Linked DNA regions of Tamandua tetradactyla. The protein of the gene in region 1 interacts with the protein of each later gene in a pairwise test. Links are inferred from orthologs where the notes say so. Each region holds a gene or a part of one and is shown in the gene's direction. Other genes may lie near its edges. The genes, in order: ALAS1, ZMAT1 and TMSB10.

Evidence for each region.
Region 2: the proteins of ALAS1 (region 1) and ZMAT1 interact in a two-hybrid assay, tested with the Homo sapiens proteins (2 studies listed by BioGRID). The two-hybrid records come from large-scale screens. The link is inferred for Tamandua tetradactyla from reciprocal best matches to the Homo sapiens genes ALAS1 and ZMAT1.
Region 3: the proteins of ALAS1 (region 1) and TMSB10 interact in binary tests that used the Homo sapiens proteins (3 or more experiments, as listed by UniProt). The two-hybrid records come from large-scale screens. The link is inferred for Tamandua tetradactyla from reciprocal best matches to the Homo sapiens genes ALAS1 and TMSB10.

What each region holds. Positions count from the first base shown.
Region 1 is NC_135341.1:33,668,053-33,676,405, reverse strand, and holds the start of ALAS1 (5-aminolevulinate synthase, non-specific, mitochondrial), read left to right. Parts: upstream 1-3,658; 5' UTR 3,659-3,771; intron 3,772-4,747; exon of another isoform or gene 4,748-4,758; 5' UTR 4,759-4,779; coding exon 4,780-4,978; intron 4,979-7,461; coding exon 7,462-7,689; intron 7,690-8,353.
Region 2 is NC_135353.1:71,473,943-71,482,295, forward strand, and holds the start of ZMAT1 (zinc finger matrin-type protein 1), read left to right. Parts: upstream 1-2,567; 5' UTR 2,568-2,611; coding exon 2,612-2,891; intron 2,892-8,195; exon of another isoform or gene 8,196-8,302; intron 8,303-8,353.
Region 3 is NC_135343.1:59,133,541-59,140,556, forward strand, and holds TMSB10 (thymosin beta-10), read left to right. Parts: upstream 1-3,074; 5' UTR 3,075-3,170; exon of another isoform or gene 3,171-3,177; intron 3,178-3,386; 5' UTR 3,387-3,401; coding exon 3,402-3,501; intron 3,502-3,740; coding exon 3,741-3,775; 3' UTR 3,776-4,036; downstream 4,037-7,016. UniProt on the Homo sapiens protein: Plays an important role in the organization of the cytoskeleton. Binds to and sequesters actin monomers (G actin) and therefore inhibits actin polymerization.

The sequences.
Region 1 (8,353 bases):
AATCTGATTTCTGATGAGACATCTCCTGATTGTTACATGTTGACAACTAATTCCCATTTCAAAAAAAGCAGTGTAAGGACAGAGAACATGTCTGGGCCACAGTTTATGGATGCTAGACTGGAGGGCCTCATGGGGCTTTCCGTGAGGGAAGACAGTGTTTGCTCTCTGGGTACTTTCTGCCCTCCAGGATTGGGGGTGGAGGTGGGGGTGGGGGACTGTTCCCTGGGTATCCACCCCAGACCTGCTTGTTGGAGCACTTGATGACTTTCCTCCACTTCTTCCCAATTCTCCCCTCAACAACCAGAGCCCATCCCTTGCTCCAGCAGTTGGTTACACCAATCTAGACCCAAGCCTGCCCTGCCCCTCCCAGGCTGCTCTAGACCGACCAGAGCCTGAGGGCATTCCAAAGGTAGGGCCAGGATAAGACATATATTGGGACCCCACAACTCTCCTGCCCTGCCCACCCTCCGGGTTCCATCCAACATGATGACTCCTGGCACTGCCATGGTTAATCCTGGAGCTCATGATGACTCCAACCCTCTAGGGTAGCGCTGAGCTGTTTCCAGAACCTCTAGCCACTCTGTGGAGGGGTGGGGGTGGGGTGCTGGCCACCCACCTTTACAGATGGAACCAACACCCCAAGGAGCAGCACCGGCCCAAGGTCACACCAAGAGTCAGCAGCACAGGTTGGAAGTTTTATCTGTCTTTTAAGACTTTCCCATTTCTACTTGGGTATCCTGAAGGGGAAGGCTGGCAGGATTTCTTGCCTGTCTGACATACGGAGAAACTGAGGGCCAGAGGAAAGCAGTCAGCTTGCCCAAGGTCTCAGCTACTTGGCTCTCACAGAGGGGCTCTGCTAAAAATAGCTCCCAGCGTGGGAAGGGGTGAATTTCAGGGCCAGGACTGATGTTTTCCTTCTGCCTTGACCGCTGGGGGGGTTCTGCGTTCAGCAACCTGACTGTGGTGGTGACGCACTAAGGGAGAAGGAGCAGAGAGGCCAGGCCCCAGCGTCATCCCAGGATAGGGGCTGACCTTGCCTGGACTCCAACGGCCTAGGTGCCCCTACCCAGGGCCAGGGTGATAAGGCAGGTTTATATTGCAGTTCTGAGGCTGAATGCAAGGTGAGAGGGAAAAAGGAGGGAAGAAAAGAGGAAGGGAAGAGGGAAGGCCGGAGAAGGGGGAAGGGTAGGGAGGAAGGAAAGGGCCCCACCCAGGCTCTCCATTGAGGCAGACAGGATAACTCCTACTTCACAGATGCAAAATCTGGGGCTAAGGGCATGGTGTAATTTGCCAAGATCACAGAATCATAAGATGGCAGAGCCAAGATTAGAACTCATGGCTTTAGCCTTTGCCCTTCCAGGTCTCAAACTGGAAACCACTCAGGTAGCATGTCCCCAAAATGTGACCCCCGACAGGCTCATCCTACACTTGCTTCACCAAGAAGGAGGCCTGGTTAAAATACAGATTTCTGGGATAGAATCAAAAGGGGTGGCTAAAATAATCTGCATTTTAAGCTGTGCCCTTGTAGTAGTTTTTTGAGCTGACACTGGGAAGACCCGTGGTTGTCTTGTTTTCAGCTTTTCCTTTTTTACCTCCTGGCTCCATATCCTGGCTGCACCCTCGGAGCGGAGCGCAGCCGTTGGGACTGACTCATGCTGCCCCCACCCCACCCCCACCCCAGGCCTGGGCCCTCCCCATTCAAGGCTTCGCTCACTAGACTCCATGTCTCATGTAGACTCAGCCTTCCAACCAGTACCTGCTTCTCCTCTGGGAGCCTGCTTGGTGGTCGGGAAACCCCTCCTTCAGAGCCTGTTGGAGTAACACCCTACTCCTCCATCTGGAATTGTTTAGATCATTCTATTTCACTTTCTTTGTGAGCTGACTTATTTCCCAACCTTTCCCTTTATTAAACAGGAAACTCCCAGAGGGCTGGAGACTTGTTGGTTTAACAATGAGCCTCTGAAATCCATGACTTCACCTAACCCTCTTGCCAACCACAAGTGGCAGGACTGGGAGAGCTTTACAAATGAGGAAACCAAGACTCTGGGAGATTGTGGCCTGCCCATGGCTACAGTCATGTAAGATTTAGAGCCAGGCTTGGAATATGTGTCCTGCTCCACTGTCCGGTTCTTTCTGCTTCTGCTTTGCCTCTGATCACCCAAACAGTTCTGTGAGGCAGGCATAACAAAGTCATCATTCTATTGCCCAGACAAGGAAAGTGAGGCCCAGATATGGGCAAAGCACTCAAGGCCATCCTTGACCTGTTCCTACTTCTATCTGCACTTGGATTTGAGTCCAGGCACTGACTTTTACTGTTTTTTCTCTCCCTCCTCTGTGGCCACTGGGCACAGCCTAGGGCCCCTCAGCAGGACAGGGCAGGCTGGGCCTTAAACTCCCAAGCCAAAGCTCTCATTCTAAGCCCCTGGACTGGTCCCAGTGCTGTTCTGGACCCAGGTGCCTCCTCTGCAGCTGGAGGCTCGCCTCACCTGTCTTACAGCTAGCTATAGGCTAAGTGAAGGAGCTGGGAAGTACCTGGACTAACTTTGGTTACCACAGCTCTGGATTTCACTCCTCTTATCAGTGCCCAGATGGAGAGAGATCAACCTGGATGGCTCCTTTCCAAGAGTGGGGGAGGGTAGCTCTGAGCCTGGCACAAGCCCAACCCAGCCTAACTGACGCCAGAAGAGATATGGAGCAAGGAAACCAGGTTGACATTCCTGAGGGGGGTTTGCCAAGCCCTTCCCCCGCAGGCGTGGTCTAGGGGAGACTTGGAGGAGGCACAGCCCAACTCTGAACTCTGAGATGGAGTGTTGAGCCACTCAGCTGGTGCCCAGGGTGGTCAGCAAGGGATTTTGGGCAGTCCCCAATTGAACATAAAAGTAACATATCTAATATATGTCAAACTCTAACTCTGTCAGGCCCTGTGATCCCGCCCCCTTCCCATAAGTACTGAGTTACAGCTGTGGAGTGGATGGGTTCTATCTAGTCTTGTTTCTTCTGTCCCTTCTCTGCTCATGACTTAAGTCCCTTCATCTCATACCAGAGAGTGCCACGGCTTGACCTTTCTTTCTGTTCCTTCCTCCTCACTCCAAAGTCTTCACCCACGTACCAACTCCCTCCCCATCCCGGCCCAGAGCACCACTCCATCCTTGGCCATTCCAGTGCCACCTCCTTCAGGAAGTCTTCTTTCACAGCCCTGCTATTAAGTCCCAGGTGGGGCAGATCCTACTTAAGACCCTGGACTGGACCCCCTTTTGCGCCTCCTCCCTCCATGCCCAAAGTACCCATTTTAACAGTTCTCTAATCCCCAGTTGACTCCAGGGGCACTTCCCCTCAGGCCCGTGGCATTTTATGCCCCACAACAGGGACGTAGGGTTTTGAAGTACAGGGGAGTCAGTGGAGAGCGGTAAGGGGGTGCAAGGTGAAGTTCGAGAAACAGATTCCAACCAGGAAGGCTAGGATGGAAAGCCTCAACTCCCTCGGCCCCCGCCGAGCCCCTGTCGCCACCGCCTCCAAGACCAGCCTCCCCGCCCATCGCGTCGGGCCTCTTACCTCCGGAAACTCCACGCCGAGCGCCTGCGCAGAGAATCCGCGCCCAAGGCGCATGCGCAGCGGTCATTCCCGCTCTATATTAGGGCGACCGCCCTCCGGCCTGAGGCTTCTCGCTGACAAGGGCAAATCTTTGGCTGCGTTTCTTGGCTTGGGTCCCTGCCGCCGCAGTCACCGCCGCCGCCGCCGCCGCAGCAACCACCTCCACAGTTACCCGTGCAGGTAAAGGCCCGGCTTCTGGGAGCGAGGTCGGCCGGGGACAGCCTCCGAGTGTCCTGCCGGCCCGGGCTCCGATTCCCCGGCTATTGGAACCCCATCCCCCCACCCGCCGCCTCGGGCTCAGCCTTCATCCCCCAGACCTCCTGCCGCCTCAGTTCCCCCAATAGACCCCTCGGGCATTTCCATTTAACCGGCTTCTTTAGAATTCATTTCTTACCCCCCTTCCGTCTCCTACCGTTATTCTTAAGCCCACGACCCGGGGTAAATAGCCCGCAGCCCCCTGGGACCGCTTCCAAGCGCCAGACCTAGCACACTGGGTTTACAGCTCCTGCCCCTCCCTAGTTAGCCCTATCGGCGCGTCTCCGCTAACCCCTACTCTTCTTTGTGCGCCCTTTTATTCAATTCCCTGTTCATCAAGCTATAGGAATATGAGCTCGGAAAAATCCTTGCCTCACAGCCCCAGGGTTGTCCATGGTGTCTTCCTCCGATTTAGGGCTGTGAGGACCTGGAAAGTTTCGAGATCTTTAAGAATCCATACCTTCTTGCCTCCGCCGAGCCTCCCTTACGTGGATGGACTACAGTGGCTCCTTCCCTAGACAAAGTTTTCCACCTTGGTGTGTGCCAAGGTGTCTTCTCTGCACTGGGCATCTCCTTCAAGGAGCTTCTCTGTTCCCAAACCAGTTCCTGCTTATCCTGCATCCTCCCACCCCCTTGGTTATTAATTGTCAGTATCAATTTGTTAGGTTGCGATGAAGGTGCTTTTGTAGAGAGCTGGAGAATGCAGAAGTTAGTGGCCTGGGTAGAATGTGGTCACCAGCGCATGGATAAGTCCCAATCAGTGCTATCCTTAGACAGTTTTGAGCCAGACTTGTTAGTATCCCAGGGTACCTTGCCAAGAGCTGCAGGTGAGCTGACCCCCAGTGACCTTGCAGTGGGATTTGCCTAATTATTAACAAGTGTTGATGCCACTTATCATCATTCTTTCTCCAGGAGTCAGTGTACCTCTCGGACATGGAGACTGTTGTTCGTCGCTGCCCATTTCTGTCCCGAGTGCCCCAGACCTTTCTGCAGAAGGCAGGCAAATCTCTGTTGTTCTATGCCCAAAACTGCCCTAAGATGATGGAAGTTGGAGCTAAGCCAGCCTCTCGGGCTTTGTCCACTTCAACAGTATGCTGCCAGCAGGTCGAAGAAACCCCTCCAGCCAACAAGAGTAAGTGTCATTTTGGCAGCCGAGTTGGGGGTGGTGGTGTTTTCACACATACTTGACTAGAAGCAGTTACATTCCACACTGTTGGTGAGGTTCACAATAACAGAGGAGTTACACTGTCCAAGCTCAGTGCTTTGTGTGGATTATTTCTTGTAATTGTCGTCCTAACCTCACAAGGTAGTCATTTTTAGCTTTCCCATCTATAAAGGTGAAACTTTGCCCAGCTTTCTAGGTTAGCAGAATTCTGAATCACTTATCTCAGTGTCTTTTGGAGTTTCAGTAATATTTAAAATGATATCTATCTTTATTTTGTATATAATTTTTTTTTGTTTTGTTTTAATAAAAAGATCAGTCTGTCTTGCATGGAGAAGCTGAACCTATTTATAGTTATACCTAAGAGTCACCCCCAGAGAACCTCTTATGTTGGTCAGATGTGGCCTCTCTCGCTAAGCCAACTCAGCAGGTGAACTCACTGCTCTCATCCCTCGTGGGATATGACTCCCAGGAGTATAAAGCTCCCTGGGAGTGTGGAACAGGACTCCTGGGATGAGCTGGGCCCCGGCATCATGGGATTGAGAAAGCCTTCTTGACCAAAAGGGGGAAGAGAGAAATGAGACAAAATAAAGTCTCAGTGGCTGAGAGATTTCAGAGTCAAGAGGTTATCCTGGAGGTTATTCTTACGCAATATGTAAATATCCCTTTTTAGTTTATGGTGTATTGGAGTGGCTGGAGGGAAGTACCTGAAATTGTTGAGCTGTGTTCCAGTAATCTTGATCCTTGAAAAAAATTGTATAATGGTACAGCTTTTGCAATGTGATTGTGAAATTCTTGTGTGTGATGTGCCTTTTATTCAGGATATGGGGAGATGAATAAAAAAATGTGGATAAAAATTAAAAATATGAGGGCAGATAAGGGTAAAAAATTGGGTAGATTGAAATACCTAGTGGTCAATGAGAGGGAGGGGTAAGGGGTAAGGGGTATGGACTGTATTTCTTTTTCTGGAGTGATGCAAGTGTTCTAAAAGTGATCATAGTGATGAATACACAACTATGAGATGATATTGTGAGCCATGGATTGTACACCATGTTTGGACTGTATGTGTGTGAAAATTTCTCAATAAATATAAAAAAATAAAGAGATCAGTCTGGCTCTACCAGGAGGGGATTGAGGCTTTTCAGATTTCACTTAATCCTCAAGAATATCTTACTTTACAGGCTTCTCTTAGGTGTGTTCTCTGGGTGTGGACTTGTGAGAATTATTTTTTTCCTTTAAGTAGAAAGGTAATAGTTGTAGGATTTATTTCCCTCTGTACTATCGCTCAGGAGTTATGTCTTTTTTACCGAACAATCAAAATCCTCTTACCATTCTGTCCCTAGTAGTGGAGAGGACTAATTGAGTAAAATGTGGCTTGTTCTATTGAAAGACTACTATGCAACCAACATAAATGATATTCACAAACTATTTACTAGCTTAGGCAGGTCTATATAATGAAAAGGGTGGAATAAGTATATAAAGTACAAGTAAAAACTGTCTTTAAAATCCGTACATATATTTTTAAAAACATGATATACTAAAATGTTTGTTTTGATTATGTTTAAATGATAAGACTCTTCTTTAGTCTTTCTATAATATGTATTATGTTTATAATGGGGGGAAGGGAACTTCAAAGTAATTTTTTTTTTGGCTTTCCTTTATAGAAGATTTTAATGAATACCATACTGAGATACCTTTCCCAAGTTGTAGGAAAGGCTAGCCTCGGATTCACAGGACTATTCCAGAATTGATGATGAAATACTTTTCTAGAAAGTGAACTAATTTGCTCAAAGGGACAAGGAAGTCGTGACTAGAAGCATAGTTACCAGCTGACTGTTAAGTCAGTGGACTTCTTTGATGCATTAGATGAAAAAGTAGATGAGGTGTGTAAATGTGATTCTTCCATTGTTTTTTTCCCAAGTATACTAATAATTTAATTGTTGTCTATTAGACAGCAATCTAAAGAATTTAGTTGTAGTTTCATTTAGAAGAATAACATTAGTTTACATGTTAAGCAACGTTAGGCTTCTTTGTCAAGAATCTTTAGAAAATATTAGCAGAGATAAGTTTGCATGAATATTACCAGTTACCTTGGAGAGTTTGTCCACTTATGTTTCTCATGAAATATGCTATGAATTTACTGGAATTCTTCAATTCAAGAACTTTGGGTTGTCTAGAACTAGAAAATGTTACTTTTTGGATTTATAAGTGAGAAATACTGTAGATTTGAAAGGTAGCTGAAATGTACCACTTAACTCTTCATAAGAGCATTGTTTCCATTGAGGCAGATGAGAAAATAATTTGATTAACAGAACCTAATAAAAATAAACTTGTACTTGGATTGGGGTAGAGTAAGTATAAACTTTATCTTTAAAGCTATAAGAGAAGCAAGTGGTTTTTTGTGTGCTGTGCAACCAGAACTGATGGTTCACTTTTTCTTGTTCCCCACTCAGAGGACAAAACTGCCAAAGCTGAGGTTCAGCAGGCTCCTGATGGATCCCAGCAGACTCCACATGGGACACAGCTTCTATCTGGACATCCTTCCTCTGCCACAAGCCAGGGTACTGCAAGCAAATGCCCTTTCCTGGCAGCCCAGATGAGTCAGCGGAGCAGCAGTGTCTTCCGCAAAGCCAGTTTAGAGCTTCAAGAGGATGTGCAGGAAATGCATGCCGTGAGAAAAGGTAAACAGATAAGAAACGAACCATTAGGAAAAATGAAGAAGTCCGTTTAGCTCTTTGGACCCTCAGGTTTGTATATTAGCTGTTATTAGGCAATGTTTGTGTAAACACCTTCCTCTTTTAAAGCCAAGGAGAAAGGTCCTCAAAATGGACAGTCAGACTGTGTTGCAAAATGTGGGACTTTCTTTCTGGTGTGTAGGAGGTGACCAGCTTTTAAAGTAGCCATTTAATTTCTGAAATACTCTGTAGTTGAGAACTGCTGTTAATTGCCCTTTGTTTCTTTCCCATCATCTGATGGGATAAAAGGTAAAAAAAAAAAAAAAAAAAAGCAGTTGTGTTACTGCATTAAGTGCTGATCTTTGGATGCCCAAGCTGTGTGTCTTACTCATGGTCATTGAATGGCAACCTTAATTCCAGTTGTGGCTGTGTCCCACAGAGCCCCTAAGGCCCCCAAAAAGCTTCATCAGTAGAAACTATGCATATGGCCAAACTTATATTTTCGGTGAAGAAAATTGAGATTAGGGTTTCAGGGACAGAGTGGGGTGAAGAATGCATGCTGACTGACAAGAAAGCTTTGGACTTTAATGTTCATTAAACCTGGCTGGCAGCTCTGAAAACAAAACGGCACCAAACATGGGCCATTACAATAATGAAAATAGAAGAGAAG
Region 2 (8,353 bases), on another chromosome or scaffold:
AGCCTCAGTTCCTGTGGGGGGTTGTCCTTCAGCTTCTATGGGGCTGGCTTTCACCTCTTGGCTTTCCTTGGCTCTCTACAGGTTCTGGCTTGTTTAACATCTCATGGTGACATCTGCTAGGCTCCAAGCGTCTCCAAACATCCGTGTCTCTGTTCTCTGAGTGTCAGCTTTGCTCTGAAGTTTCTGTCTGCTCTGTCGTTCCTGACTTTCTTGAAAATGTTTCTTCTTTTAAAGGATTCCAGTAAACTAATCAAGATACACCTAGAATGGGTGGAGGCATATCTCCACCTAATGTAAGATCACACTCACAATTGAGTGAGTCACAATTCCATGGAGATAATCTAATCAAAAGTTTCTGCCTAGGGCAATGGTAAATCAGTGGCAGAGTTCTCGCCTGCCATGCTGGAGATCCGGCCTGCTCATGTAAAAAAAAAAATTTCAGCCCTACAATATTGAATTAGGATTAAAAGAAAAGACTCTCCCACAAGATTGAATCATGATTAAAACCTGGATTTTTGGGGGTACATAATATTTTCAAACGGGCACAAATACCTAGTACACTTTCTCTTTTACTGACTGACCCTTGAGTGATACACACTCTCCCAGAGATCCTGCTGCAAGAGTCTTTATGTAAGTGGAGTATGTTTCATATTTTGAGAAACAATGCTGTTGAGGGATTCTCCTGCACCCCCAATACAGGAAGGAATAAAATTATATTCCTTTTTTATTCTTACCTTGCCCTATTGACTATTTCAGCAGAACATTTCTTGTGCCTGGTCCACCCAGTAGTTTATTTGATCAGTGAAAGTTGCACTAATTTACAGAAGGACAAGATGGAGATTAGAGAAACCACCAACTGCCTCAGTTAATATTGGGCATATTACTGAGCTACAAAAATAACATAAACATGTGTTCTTAAAAGCCCAACACTCCAAACCTCTGAGTTTTCTGTTCAGCTTCAGCCAATTATTACCATTCAGAAATGCAAGCTCCGACCATAATGCAAAATCTTCAGAATTTTTTAAGAGTTTTTTTTTTTTTTTGCATCATATGCCCCTTTCTAAAGTTGACAAGAAAGTAAATAATTGTTTTGTGGGCTGGATGTAGCTTAGGGACCACTGGTGTGCTGCACTGTGCTGGAGCATGAGGAATCAATCAAAAGGAAACCTCTGCTTTGTCTCAAAACATCCCTAGGTTATTGAGGAGAGAGGTACAAAGTACAATTCATTACAATACTAACATGAACAAGATATAGTTGTAGCACAGAGGACGGTGGGATTAACAATAAGCAAGGACATAACAGGATACCCTGAAGAGGTGCTGCCTGCACTTCAAAGGGTGTGTAGGAGTTCGTTAGGCTGGTACCTAATGTGGGAGAAAATTGTAGGAAGAAGAAACATTTACGATAACATTAAGGCATGAAATAGATGGTATTCAGAGGAAAATTTAAGAAAATTTCATGTGTTGAGTCATAAAGTAAAAACAGACTCAAGAGATGGGAGCAGTGAGAGAGATGAGCTTAAGGAAGTGGGGGGAATGCTATTAGTGCCAAATTGTGTCAATGACTTTATCCAACAAGCAATGGAGACAGTGATGAACAGCAGCAACATGGGAATAGATCATAGTGATTGAAACCAGAGAAAGAGTGACTGGTGGTGCAGATGTCATAATTCTGACAAGAGATGATGAGGACTTGAAGTAAGAATGGAAGTGAGACCAGAAAGGACAGAATACCCAAATGAAATTTTTATACAGGTGTACCAGGAAAATGTCCATCAACAAGGAAATGGACAGGATATTGTAGAGCCTTGACAATGAATGAACTACAGCTATATGGCAAAAAAAGCATTAATCTTAGAAACAAAAGGTGGAGCAAAAGAAACAAGTCACAGTATGCTACCTAGAAAAAGATAGATGTTTTTGTAAAATTTGAAAACAAAGCTAAACAACATTGTTTAGGTGTACACATATCTCGTAAGTATACATGTAAAAAGTGCAAGGAAATAAACATAAATCAGGATACTGGGATCTTCCTGGGACAGCAATGGTAAGAAAATTTAAATTATCAGTAACATTCTAGTTTTGTTGGGTACTGGATTCAGAAGTGTTTATTGTATCATAGATGGGTAAAGTGATAGATAAGCAATCCTTTATGGACAAATGATGGCAATGTATCATGAACCTAGGGGTCTACCTAACTGTATGCTATGTGTCCAAGCTATAAGAGGAAACAATATTTTAGGAATATTTTGGAGGTGGAATCAATAGGTTTCTTGAGGTTTTATTTTTTCTTAAATTCGTTTTAGATTAACTCCTACAAGGGAACAGGCCTCACTTTATGAGGCCCACGTGCTTTAACATCCCGCGCTTTTTACCCTTTGCCCTTGGCCATCTTCGCTTCCCCTCCAAAGGGACGCAGGGTGACGCCAAGAGTGGGGGAGGGGAAGAAGGCGGCTTGTGTGTCTAAAGCTTTCCGATTGGTGGACAGAAGGAGCGAGACCAAGGCTAGAGCTAAGAAAAAAGGGGCGAAAGGGGCGGGGCTAAATAGAAGGCGGGGCTAAGGGAACTGAACCGGAGCGAGGCGCCAGTGCAATTGTCCGCCCTCGCTGCGATGGCGGCGGCGCCGAACACGGTCACCCCGCTGGCGACAGGGTCTTCCCCTCAGGAAGCTACCGTCTCTGCCGCCTCCTCCTCCTCCTACACCGCCTCCGCGGCGGCGGCGGCGGCGGCGGTGGCAGCAGTTGTGCCTGCCTCCTCCGCCACCTCCACCCCTGCCTGCCCGCCTGCCAGTGGCTGTGGCGACGGCAGCGGTTTTGGCGGCTCCACTATGGCGGCGGCGGGGAGGGGGGGCAGTAGTTTTAAAGTAGACACCCACCCTTGCCTCAGAGAAGGTGAGTTCACGTCCTGGGGTGCGGGCGCGGCCCCATCCACGTCGCTGCCTCTTTGCAGTTGGTCCGAGATTGGGCTGGGCGCGGTTTGCCACTGCCCCACCCCCCACCTGCTGTGGCGCAGTAAAGGCCAAGCTCGCCCCGCCCCGCCCCATAAACCCCGAGTGTGTAAGATGGACTGAAGCATAGGGGGGCTTCCTTACCTCTATCCCCCGCAAACGATGGGGGCCCCAGGAAAAGGAGCTGCAGGTATTCACAAGACAGGAGTTGAAGGGAGAGAATAATACCACAGAATTTCTCTCAGTCACGACGCCTTAGTATGTTAAAGGAAGCTGAGGGAGTGATTTGGATTAAGAGAGGAGCCAAGGTAAAAGTGTGGTGGGTCAGGGAAAGGGAAAAGGGCTGATGTAGGAAGGACAGAGGAAAGGTAAAAAAGCCGAAGAAACAGGAGGGAGGAAACCTCTTCCTGGTGAAATTCAACATCTTGCAGGGTAGCGATCTGCAGTAGATATTTTAAGGAGATACGGGGTTAGGAATTTGGGGAGGTTAAAGTGTATACTTGAGCTTTGAAGTAAGATCTCTTGAAGTTCAGGATCTTAGGGTCCGGTGGAGAGAGCTCAAATGTAGAAAGGAGGAAGAGTGTGGCAGAAGCACACATTTCAGGAATCACTGAAAGTTTTCCTAGGCTGTTTGAGAGTGTGTCCTTGTAAAGCAAGGTTCACAGGCCCATCTTTAAGGTGGTGTGGGTTTTAATAAGTGCTGTTTTACCTACCACCACACATTACTCCTAACATAAAAAAGCTATTTATTGACTATCTCAATGGTTGTGTTTAGTTTACACAAAGTACTATATAATTGGAAACAGCCTACTAATAGCAAGTTGTAAATTATACCACTAAAATGTGTTTTAAAGTAGTTTTTGAAATGCTTATTAGGTGATGGAAGCATTCTGCCATCGTAAATTTCATCCTTAATTTCCAGTATTTGCTGTTTTACCTTGTTGCTACTTGCCTAAAAAGTCAGACCATGGACCCCCGAATGGGGTAGAATAATTTAAGTTCCTTTTTCTTAGAGGGATACCTCATTAAAATAATCCATAAAAATAATTTTCTCTTCACATTCTTAGATTTATCTTTGTGTGTTATTCCATGAGCTTTCATGCCTTTCACTTTGGAGGAATGGCAAAGCAGTAAAAACAAGCCCTTACAATAATGTAATAGGCACAATACATAAATCCCACTTACTAAAAATGGAGGTTAGAAATACACTGTAATATGTTTTATTAACTCTCCTACTGAAGACAGCCTTTGAAAGACTCTAGTTTCTTCTGTCAGATTGCTGATCTGGATTTGTACTATTGCTCTGGGATAAAGCCATGAAATCTGGAATATTGCTGATCTGTAACGAGCAGGTATGCCAGAGCAGTCCTGTAGGTGTCAAGACCATAATTCAAGTTGGTTCTCATGGCCTTTTCATAGTGAGGTTTAGGAGTAGTATCTCATGGGAAAAAAATGGCATTTTTTCCTGACTGCAGCTGGTTTGGTTGCAATTATCTCTCAATATATGCAAATATTACAGGCTTTGTAAACTCGTAAAGTAGCAGAAAAATGCCATCTATAGTATCAATAGGTGGGAAAATGAGGAGAGCACTGGAGTAGGAGTTGAATGCATCAAACGGAGGTTCTGTGGCTAATATGGTAACCATTAGAATGTGTGAACCTGAACATATCTCAAGATTCCTGCATTTGTGTTTGAAATTTTTGAAATAGAGGAACTGGACTAGCTAAACTGGGTGGTGGATTTCAAACCTGAGAGTATGAACCATAACTTAGAAATTCTGAGTTCTCTCTATGGCATTTCCATGGCTGTGCGCTAGAATATTATTAATTCACAGACCTCAAGAAACCTTGGCTGACATTCAGTGAGTAATGAAATTTGTGTTGAGACAATTCGCTAGCACTTCATAAAATATAATTTACTAAAAAATTATATCATTTCATTTTAGGTAAATATCCTTCATTAACTGTTGAGTCCAAATCAAAATCTCTCTTACTTATTCACTTGATAAATGGTAAATGTTTTATATATTGCACTGTCCAAAACACTGCCAGTCCTCAAAATATTTTTGTTTGGATATTTGTAAAGTAGTTGGTAGCTGTGATAGTAGATAAAGGAAAAGAGGAAAATGTTGCTTGGTGATTTCTCAATATATTTTGCTTACTTTTTTTTAATTCTTAGTTAGAGATTGCTCTAAAATGGGTCAGAATTGTCAAAATTCCAGTTACTGAAAGTCCACTCCTGATAGGATCATGCAAAGTTGTTTGAAAAAGCATTTGCTGATCCATTTTCAGCTGTAGGTTACACTACTGAGGATCTGTCATCTGACCTACGCTTGATAATGAGCAAACTTCAGTAGAGTTTAAAATTTGTTAAACAGGAAAGAATAGAAACTCTCAAAGGTTACAAATAGAAACTTGAGCAATAAACTCAAAAACAAAAGCAAACTAAAGAAATGTCCACATGAAAAGACACACACATCCAGAATTCATGGTAAGGGAAGTCATGAGATTTTGTAGAACACTGTAATTCATTCAGTGACGATTTTCAAAACTATTTAATGGCTCAAAAATGAATTTTTGCCCAGTAATCATCATCTGGTGTAATCATAGTAGAAATCAAAGCAAAAATAAGTAAGAATCCTCTTGCTTATTTACCTCTTATAATTGAGGAAAAAAATTATTAAATGGTTTCTCTTTTTCAGTGGAGGGCATTTCTGCCTTTTTATGTAATCATTCCTCCATTTGCATAGGAATTTCCTAGTAATACTTTCGCTTGTTTCCCTATTATTATATAATGTTTTACATCAATGGCAATAAGCCCATCATAAGAAAACCTAGTTAATAGCATTTCTTTCATTTATTCAGGAATAATTTATTGAGCACCTGTATATGTATGTGCCAAGCCTTTTGCTCAGTGCTGAGGATATACAGACAAATTAGACACAGCCTTAGTAAGATTATAAAATAGATGGGGAAAATGCAGTTTTAAATGTTAAGACTAGGTAAACTTCTGAACTATCTAGAATGTCCCATCTGTTATAACTCTGTTCTCAGCTCATGGCATCTTAATACTACAGGCACATTAAAGCACAACATATTGTGAATCTCATGTTGATATCTGGGAAGAATAACTAGCAAACTATTAGAACTGATTTTAATTGTATGCATCTGGCAGGTGGGGGGATGTCCGGAGAGAGATTAATGATCATTTATTAGTCTCTCCCATACTCTGTTTTCAGTAAGTGTCAATAGGTGAAAATATTGACTAAAATTGTTAAAAAAAAAAAAAAACCCAACCTAAGCATGTCCCCTACTAAATTCATCATACATCTGTTAGGATAGGAACTTTGATTCTTTCCGCCTTAAAACTGGCCTTGCCAGTCCATTCATACTTATTAACATGTTGAAGGAATGGCAGGTATTTGGCGGCTTTCTGATACAAAGTAGCTGTGAGAGGATCCAGTAGATTAATGGATTTACAGAGAGCCTTAATTCTTAAATTCTAAAGTTTCAAGTATACCTGGAGCTCACTAGCCACAGAATGCTTATGATAATGAAGGTGGAGGACTTAGTTTAAATAAAGACAAATATTAAACATATAACTATTATGCCCAATTGGTTGTTTCATTAATTCCATTGCATTTTTTAGTTGTTGATATGCCATAGGAAACCCATCATTATTTTTTTGATAATGGTATTAGTGTAAAATTTCTAAACCTTGCCAGGCTTCTCATATAGGACAGGTACTGATCTCATAACCTGAAAAAGTAAAGACATTAGCTAACATTTTAGCTATGTGTTCATAGTGCTGAAGGGTACAAATCTGCATTTCTAGCATAATTAAGATCTCAGAAAACTCTGTAAATGGGCTGCGACTTTTAGAGAAGAGAGTTAAAACCTTTGGCAAGGTTATCAGCATGAAGCAGTTTCCTAATCTCTTGTAATTTAGTGCTGTGCTCTGCTCATTCTTTCCTAAGATTATGATGGTATTAAAAGATTGCAAAGGTCGAGTCAACTTTTTCTCCCCCCAAATTTCTTTTTAACCAAGAATGTTTGAGGGAGATTTTCTCTAAAGGTGTGATCAGGGAGAACATGTACATATGCTCTTTGCACAATTGAAATGATAATTACTCAAATTCCTTAATGTCTAAGTCTGTGACTAGAGAGTGAGATGTTTGTTTGCTGTATTGCAGCTAACCTTTCTGAGATTATCTCCACTCTTGTCCTTTATTAAAATAAAATATACAGAGTTTTTCTTACAATGCATCAAAATCAGTTGGACTGTGAAATTCCCACTTTAGGAAGGCATTTAAAACAGCTAATAATACGTTCTTGCCATAAAGAATTTATGATGGATTGTCTTGAGGAATTTTGGGGTTTTGTACATAAGTTTAATTGTCATTTAACAAATGCAAGTAAGATACATTTTATTAAATGTAGCTAGTTATATCTAAAGTTGAGCCACCTAATTTGAATAAGCTTGAACTTCTTATCAGGGTAACCAAACAACATTCAATTGGAGTAAACAGAGAGATAAACTTCTCTTACCTCAAACTGAAGAAATGTGTTAATTTTCTGGTTACTTTCCTCAAAGATCTAGTACAATCTTTGATTCCATAAACTGGAGTCAACCAAATTGTAGGCACAGATGCATTATTCTTTTCGGAGTAAGTCCATAAATGTTTTCCATTTGCCACAAAAATCTAATTCATCCTAATTTGCTCGTGTTATCTAGTGCTATTAATTAGGAGAAAGTTTCAAATATGCTAATTTGGCTTTCATACTGAATTGCATTTTTGGATGCAGAACTTAATTGTATTTTAATTTAGCATAATAGTACAGCTGTTTGGAGCAGGCCCATTCTAACAAAAGTTGCTAGAAATTGAATTTTTGTCAAGTGAATCCTCTTTGCTTTTTATGTAATTGAAGACATAATTTTGCTACAAGCTGAATGGAATATTTTTGTACCGACATAGAGGATTGTAGTAATGCCCAGGCCCATTGAATGTGAGTTGTTTGTACTCATATTTGCATTTCACTGACTTGAGACCATCCTTCTTATATTGTCTCTTCCCAGACTACTGTGATTTTGTTCATACTCCAAATCCACCTTAATCTAGAATCATACCTTTTAAAATTTTATCTCCCCTAAACCATTTTATCTCCCCTAAACCGTTTGTTTCCTATAACTTCTCTGGACCTTAGCTTCTTCATTTATGAAATAAGAACATTCAGTTAGATCAGTTGTGTGCTCGCTTCAGCAGCACATATACTAAAATTGAAACAATACAGAGAAGATTAGCATGGCCCCTGCGCAAGGATGATACGCGAATTCGTGACGCGTTCCATATTTAGAAAAAAAAGAAAATAAAAAAGAAATTAGATCGGTTGTTCTAGACTAGAGGC
Region 3 (7,016 bases), on another chromosome or scaffold:
CACAGGCATGACAGTTACCAACTGACGCAGAGTCATTTGTCTGCGACTCGAGACTCACGGGCTCCCCTCCACTCTCGGCATCCTCTCAAAGCAGGCCACAGGGCCTCCGATAAATATGAGCGTTATGTAAGATACAGAGGACCTGAGACCTGGCACCACGAGGCTATGATTTTTCCATCACATAGTGTTGCCATTATCTGATGTTGTGTGACAAAATGCCCAACACGTAGTGCCTTAAAACAACCACCACATTTATTTTGTCCATGAGTGTGCTATTTGGGCAGGGACAGTTTCTTGACTTCCTTTGGCAACAGTGGGGCACTTTGAAGCTCCAGAAGCTGGCTCCCTTGCATGACTCTGGTGGATGCTAGCTGCTGGCTCTGATCTCAACTGAGGCTGTGGCTGGAACACCCGGATGTACCCTTTCCTGCATGGAGGCATGCTGCAAGAGAAAGCCAGGCAGAAGCTGCATGGCCGTTACGACCTACCCTCCTAAGTCATGAAGCATCATTTCTGCCTCATTTCATTCCCTAAAGATGAAGGCAAAGTCTATATTAACAGATGATGGGAGGAGGGTCAAGGACCTGTGCAGGAGTTTTAAACTTCTACCCATAGGACATATAGATTTGACTGGCATTCTTAAGCAATAAGTGCCAAATAGGCTGCCCACTTTCGGAGAGATGGACCACAGGCTGTGTTGAGGGAAAAATGAGGAATAATTTCAACACCAGTTAAAGCTCCTCTGTGTGGGAATCCTGCATACTTGCTACATTTGAAACATGTTTCTCCATCACTGCATTTAAAAGAACGATTCTGTTTTCCAAATAAAGGGAAGCTGGAATTGGAGTTCACCGTGAGTCCATGAGATTTCTGCCCCAAGAATAATAAGTTTATTGTTCAGTGTAACTGAAGGACCATCCCAAATCACTCGACATTCAGGAAGATTGAATATTCCTCCTGGGGCCAAAGGTGAGGGCCAGGAAGGAAATGCCTAAAAAATGCATGACACTGCATCCCAACGGCAATCAAGTGCCAATGAAATCCTCCAAAAAGTCTCTAGGTGTCCTGATATTTTCATGTTCAAGTTTGGCAGATCCTTCAACGGATACAGCAGTCTCTTCCCAGTTCACCCAATCTCCACTTTTTTTTCTCCTAGACACACAACTAGACTACATTTCCCACCCACCTTTGAAGTTAGGTTAGACCAGGTGACTGAGTCCTGGCCAAAGTCAAGGGCAGAAGAGATGGAAACCACGTCCAAGCCTGGACCAAGAAAATCCCAGGAGTTCTCCACCCTCTCCTCTTTCCCCATCCACTGACTGGGTAGAGTGGACTTCAAGGACCTAGAAAAGGACAAAGTCAAAGACAGGAGGGTCCTGGGTACCCGAATTGCCAGATGGATTCCAGGATTCCAGCACAGATGTGGATGCACAAGCGGGAAGTACACTTTTTTTGCATTAAGCCACTTTGGGGCTGTTTATTACTGTTGTTTGCCTACCCTGGCTGTGAAATTGAATCACTGTTCAGGAAATAATCACTTCCCTCCCCCTCCCACCATGGAGGCAATATTTTTCTCCACCCCTTTGATGTTGGGCTTGGCTATATCACCTGCTTTGGTCAATAGAATGTCAGCTAGCAAAGCCTAAATTGTGTTTACACACACAACAACAACTTCTACCCTCTTGGCCTGAAGCTATCCTGCTGTTCTCCCATCACCCTGAGAGGAACGTGCCCCAGCTACCCCCTGGTCCAAAGGCGATGAGAGACTGTGGAGTGGACCTGGGACCAACCACAAGCTGGGAACCAAGCCCAGTCTAATGCAGGCCAGCACCAGATGACCTGCAGATGTATGACAAGAAAAGGTGGTTATTGCCTTAAGCCACTGAGTTTGGGGGTAGTTTGTTGCACAGCATTTTTTGGTAGCAGTAGTTGACCAATACACAAAGTGGGGGTGTGACATTCTGACAGGGCTGCCTAGCTTAACTTACACTTGATGCCTATTGTTCATTTCATTCAGGTTTTACGCCAACCCTATTCTCCAGATGAAGAAACTGCATGGGGAGAAAGGACTTGACCAAGGCACACAAGGAGTTGGCTGTGCCAAACTGATAAGCCTAAGCTTTTCTCCCACTGTTACAAACGCGGACATATGTGAGAAAAGCAAATAAAATCAGGAAAGGAATGTACAGAATTTAGAATGTTTACACCGAATCCCCTTTAACTGAGCTTGGTAATAGGCCTTCCTATTTGAAAACTGAAAGTTCAGGACAAAGAAATAATGTGACCAGCTTCACCCAATAGGTTGTTAGTTTCTGGAACTTATAACTTAAAGATGGTGCACAGGCTAAAAATTTTTCTAAGAAAGATTTTAATAATTGCAAAATACCATTCCTACAAGTGGTTAATAAGAAAAGCAAGAACGTTTAAAGGGATATGGGTCTCCAGCATCTTTAGGGTTAACTTCAAGAGGGAAAATAGCACCCTCTGACACAATGTTCCTAGTAGCCCTGGGAGTAAAAGAACACCAGGAGCTCTCGATACTTCGCATTCCGCCCACTTCCCTCAGACAATGCTTGTGGCAAGCACTCACGGGGCACAACCCCGGTTCCTGCAGGATAGGGGGACGACCCCAAGAGGGCATTTAGCCTCCCAACGTGAGAAAACAGCACTGGGCATTTATCAGTATACCCCCTCTTTGCTGTGGGGACCCTCGGCTTGGGCTCTGAGAGCTGGTGAGTGTAAACCAGCAGAGGCCAGGGACCCGGGGAATGGCACAGGGGTGGGGTGTCTCCTGCCAGCGGGGATTGCTGCAGAGAGCGCGTGTACACCCGAACACTCGCAACTACACACACGCACACACACGCCCTTTTTGTGCGGTGAGCAGCAGATTCCTGGAAAGGGTGGGTGCAGCCCCCAAAGGAAGCCCGGGGGCCTTGGCTAGAGGGGCGCCAGCAGCCTTCAGGCCCTCGGGCGAAAGGAGGCCGCGCCCCACCTCCCGGGAGCCCCACGCGCCCCCGCCCCTCGGGTGCCAGCACCGCCCCCGCTGCGGCGGGCGCGGGGCGGGGCGCGCGCGGCCTATATAAGGCGTGGGGCGGGCGCCACTCTTTTGTCTCCGGCTGCAGCAGTGCAAGTGGTAGCACCGGGAGTCCCGGCTGGAGCTAGGTGCTGCGGTGAGCGGTGCGCGGGGGCAGGGGCTCCACCCGGGTGGGGCCGGGTCACCCGGCGGGCGTCCCCCTTCCGACAGGACCCAGAGGGTTGGCTGGCACCCGGAGTGGGGGGTGGGGGTGGGATGCGCCCACGCTCGCGGCCCTGGAGCTTCGGGCAACGCCCCGGCGGAAGCGCCACGTCTGGAGGCGCCGAGCCAACCGCCGGGGTGTGCCCGCCAGGATCTTTTGGAGAAAATGGCAGACAAGCCGGACATGGGGGAAATCGCCAGCTTCGATAAGGCCAAACTGAAGAAGACGGAGACGCAGGAGAAGAACACCCTGCCGACCAAAGAGAGTGAGTGTCTGCCCGCCTCCCGCTGCACGAGCCCGCAGTACCCCCCCCCCCACCCCGGCCCGCCCTTCCTCGGCCCCCGCCCTGCCCAGGTGTCCTTCCTCTCCCACAAAGCGGCCTAAGCTTCTCTCTTAACCTCATGGGTGTCTCGCCCACCCCAGATTTGTAAGCGGCGTGGTGAGGGAATGGAGGGTGCCGGGTGTTCCCATCCCCCCTCCATGCACGCTTCCGGCTCTCCCCAGCCATCGAGCAGGAGAAGCAGAGTGAAATCTCCTAGAGCCGAGAGGAGCCCCCACCCCCGTCATCTCCGAGGCCCCAGTGGCGAGGTGGCGGAAGAGCCACCTGCAAAGCTGGACGCGAGATGGACGCGAGCGACAAGCTGCACTGTGAACCCGGGCACGCCCCGCCGACGCCACCGGCCGGGGGGGTCTCTCGGAGGACCCCCCAATCGGACTGCCAAATTCTCCGGTTTGCCCTGGGATGTTACGGAAAATTATGTGTGTGATTGGTGAAAATAAAAGACACCTCGTGGCGTGGCTGGCGTAGTCCGAATCGCTTCGTTGAGCATACCGGGGGCGCGCGGCTGCAGCAGAACTCCAGGCGCTGGAGTCGAGGTTCCTGCCGCAGGGGGGGAGGGGCACGCGAATGGGGGGCCCTGGGGGGTGGTAGTTCTTCAGTTTGGACTCTACCTGCATTTCCAGAAGATTTCGCGGGATATTAGCTGCCTAGCTCGTGCTGGTAATGCCGTCCCGTATAAACTTTCACCTCACTCTAATTCTTGGAAGTCGCACTGAAAAATGCGTTTTCAAAGGAGCAGAATTCGTTTCTGCTAAGCTTTACAGTCGTACTGCTTCTCTCCGGGTTCCTCCTAGCGCTGATGGACACCAGGAGAAGACAAGTCATTTAAAGTCTAGGAAAAAAAGGGCGGGGGAGACTATCTAGAATGGCCACCAGTTCTCCAACAGGCCTTTTCTTGGAGCTGGGAAGCGGTGGCATCAGAACAAAAACAAAGACGGGATCTGGGGAAGCCGCAGCGCAGAAATAAGAATTCGAACCCTGGGGACAGGCTCGCTTTTTGTCTCAAGCCTAGCTCGAAACCTTAAGCAAAAACAGTGGGAGTGCCGGGCGGAGCAGAAATCTCCCCCTCCCCCTCCCCGTTACGTCCCCAAGACCCAGGGGAAAAGGGAGGGACCAGCCAAGGGGGCCTAGGGAAGGTCCGGCCTGGGGGCCTTAAGGGCAGAAAGAACAGACCTGTGACTCCAGGGGTGGGGTTTCCTTTCAGGACGGGGGAGAGGAGGGCAGTTGCCGGCCCACTAAATGGCCGGGAGCGACTGTGGGTGATAGGAATGCGATTCGAGCCAGTCCACAAGGAACTACAAATCCAGTGGGTGAGACAACCACAGCAGACCAAAATTGGGAACATAGGGCGAGGGGGCCACTGCTGGTTTGCCTAAAGTGACTGGACAGCAAGATCCGCACTGTGGAGAGAGGCTGGGTCTGGGGAGGGGGAGTGAGGAACACTAACATTCCAGGGCCCAGAGCTGCCAGGCTAGGAACTTTAACTCAGCAGCACAATTAGGTAGGGTGATTCACCCCATTTTACAAATGGGGGAAACTGAGGCTTCAGGCAGTGAAGGGAGTCCATGAGTAGGAGCCAGGGTTGAGGGTTAAGCGTGCGCTCTGAGGGATGCTACGACCCCCCTGTCTGCGGGGTCATTTCATGAGTGCCCCACCAAGGTGCACGTCGTAGAAGATCCTCCTGAGAGGTTAAATTTTTAAAAAGAGGAAGATATCACTTCTGCTTTCAAACAGTAATGAGAGTATGGCTGCTGGTGAAACAGGTCTTGGAGAAAAATACAGCTGGTTAGGGCGTCAGTGCCCAAGTATGTGAGGGATAGGTAGCGCAATTGCAGTTTTGAATCGGGCGGTCAGGGAGGACCCCTGGAAGAAAAGGCCTTTGAGCAAAGACCCGAAGGATGCAGGAGAGGACTCTTGGCGCCCGGGAGCACTGGGTGGAGCGGGTTGCTGGCCGCAGGAGCGGCTAGTGCAAAAGCCTCGAACTGAGAAGGCGTCTGAGGTGTGTGAAGAAGACCCAGGAGCCCTCCGGCAGGAGTGGCGCGAGCACGGGGCTGGGAGGCGAGGTGTGGGAGGGCAGGCGACGGCGGAAGCAGAGCTGGAGACTAGGGCAGGGCTCAGGACTGAAGGGCTCCTCCTCGCGCCCCCCCAGGGACACTCGGGCCCTGCCTGGGCTCGCCACGCCCAACGCCTCTTCCAGCTCCCGCCTCCTGCCCGGGACTGCGTCTGGGGCTCAAATAGCAGCCGGTCTTCCCGCGTATCCCCGCAATCTCCTCTGGGGGCCCCCCGACCCGCGCTTGTCCGGGAGAGCAGCCACAGAGCCCTGCTTCCGGGCCCCCGCTTCCTTTCACGCCGTTCTCAGGCCCTCCCCAGGAAATCCGCCATCTGAGGTGCTGGGGTGCCGAGGAGAGCCCTGCCCTTCCTACGAATCTAAGACAAGAATGAGGAGACTGCCGACTGTCTGTCTTGCTTTCCCACTCTCGAGGCTGGCCGAAGGGGGGCAGGGCACAGGAGGAAGGCGGCAGCGGAAGGGCGTGTCTACCACACAACCCTTCTCTCACTACCGCGGGTTTACGCGGGAACGCCGGCCGCCCACCCTACTCGGGTCGCTCCGGAGCGCACAAGCGACCAGCCCAGAGCCCCAGTGTCAAAGACAGGAAGGGCCCCGCCCAAGGAACTGCGCATGCGCGGAGGGGCCAGCCTGCCGAAACCCCGCCTCCTTCCGGGTGATTGATCCGGCGCGCAAGGGAATCTCAGAAGGCTTCGTGATGGAGGCGGCCGCAGTACGTTAGCTCCGGTGTCAGAGAGCATCGAGTCATCCCAGTCCCACTCCTTCCTACCCATTATCCTGCCGCGTCCACATTGGGAGAAGTATACAAAATGACTAATGTATGCCCTTTTTTTGTTGTCTAAGAATTCAAGAACCAAGTATTAGTCCAATCACAAAATGATTGCCGCTTGCTCTGAAGCCGAGATAAAGATGTTGCGTTCCTTTTCAAACTTGTTTAAATTTTCAGTTTTGTTTTCTCATATCATTCCTAAAATGAGCTTTTAATAATTAGGCGGCCCTGTTAGGTGTAGTTTCAAGGCTAAGAACGTTTTCCCATCTCGTAGGATGTGGCTCAGGACTGTGGAGGCCCCCAGAGACCCACACTCTCCTTCCTGGGCCCAGGCCTTCATTCATTCTGTAAGCATATGCTGAGAGCCTAGTAGGTGCCACGCATTGTTCAACATACTGGGAAAACATCAAGGTGAAGCCAGTCTGCACTCAGGTACCCTCGGGAAGTAGGACCACTCTTGCCAATACTTCCCAATACCCCAGATCTCTCTCCCACCCCCAAGAAAACACCTCCTTGTCTCAGAAAATAGTAGGTGTTTCCGCTTCCATACCTTTACACACCGCTGCCTATCACTCCCCCAAAGCACCTTTCTATCTCTTCCCC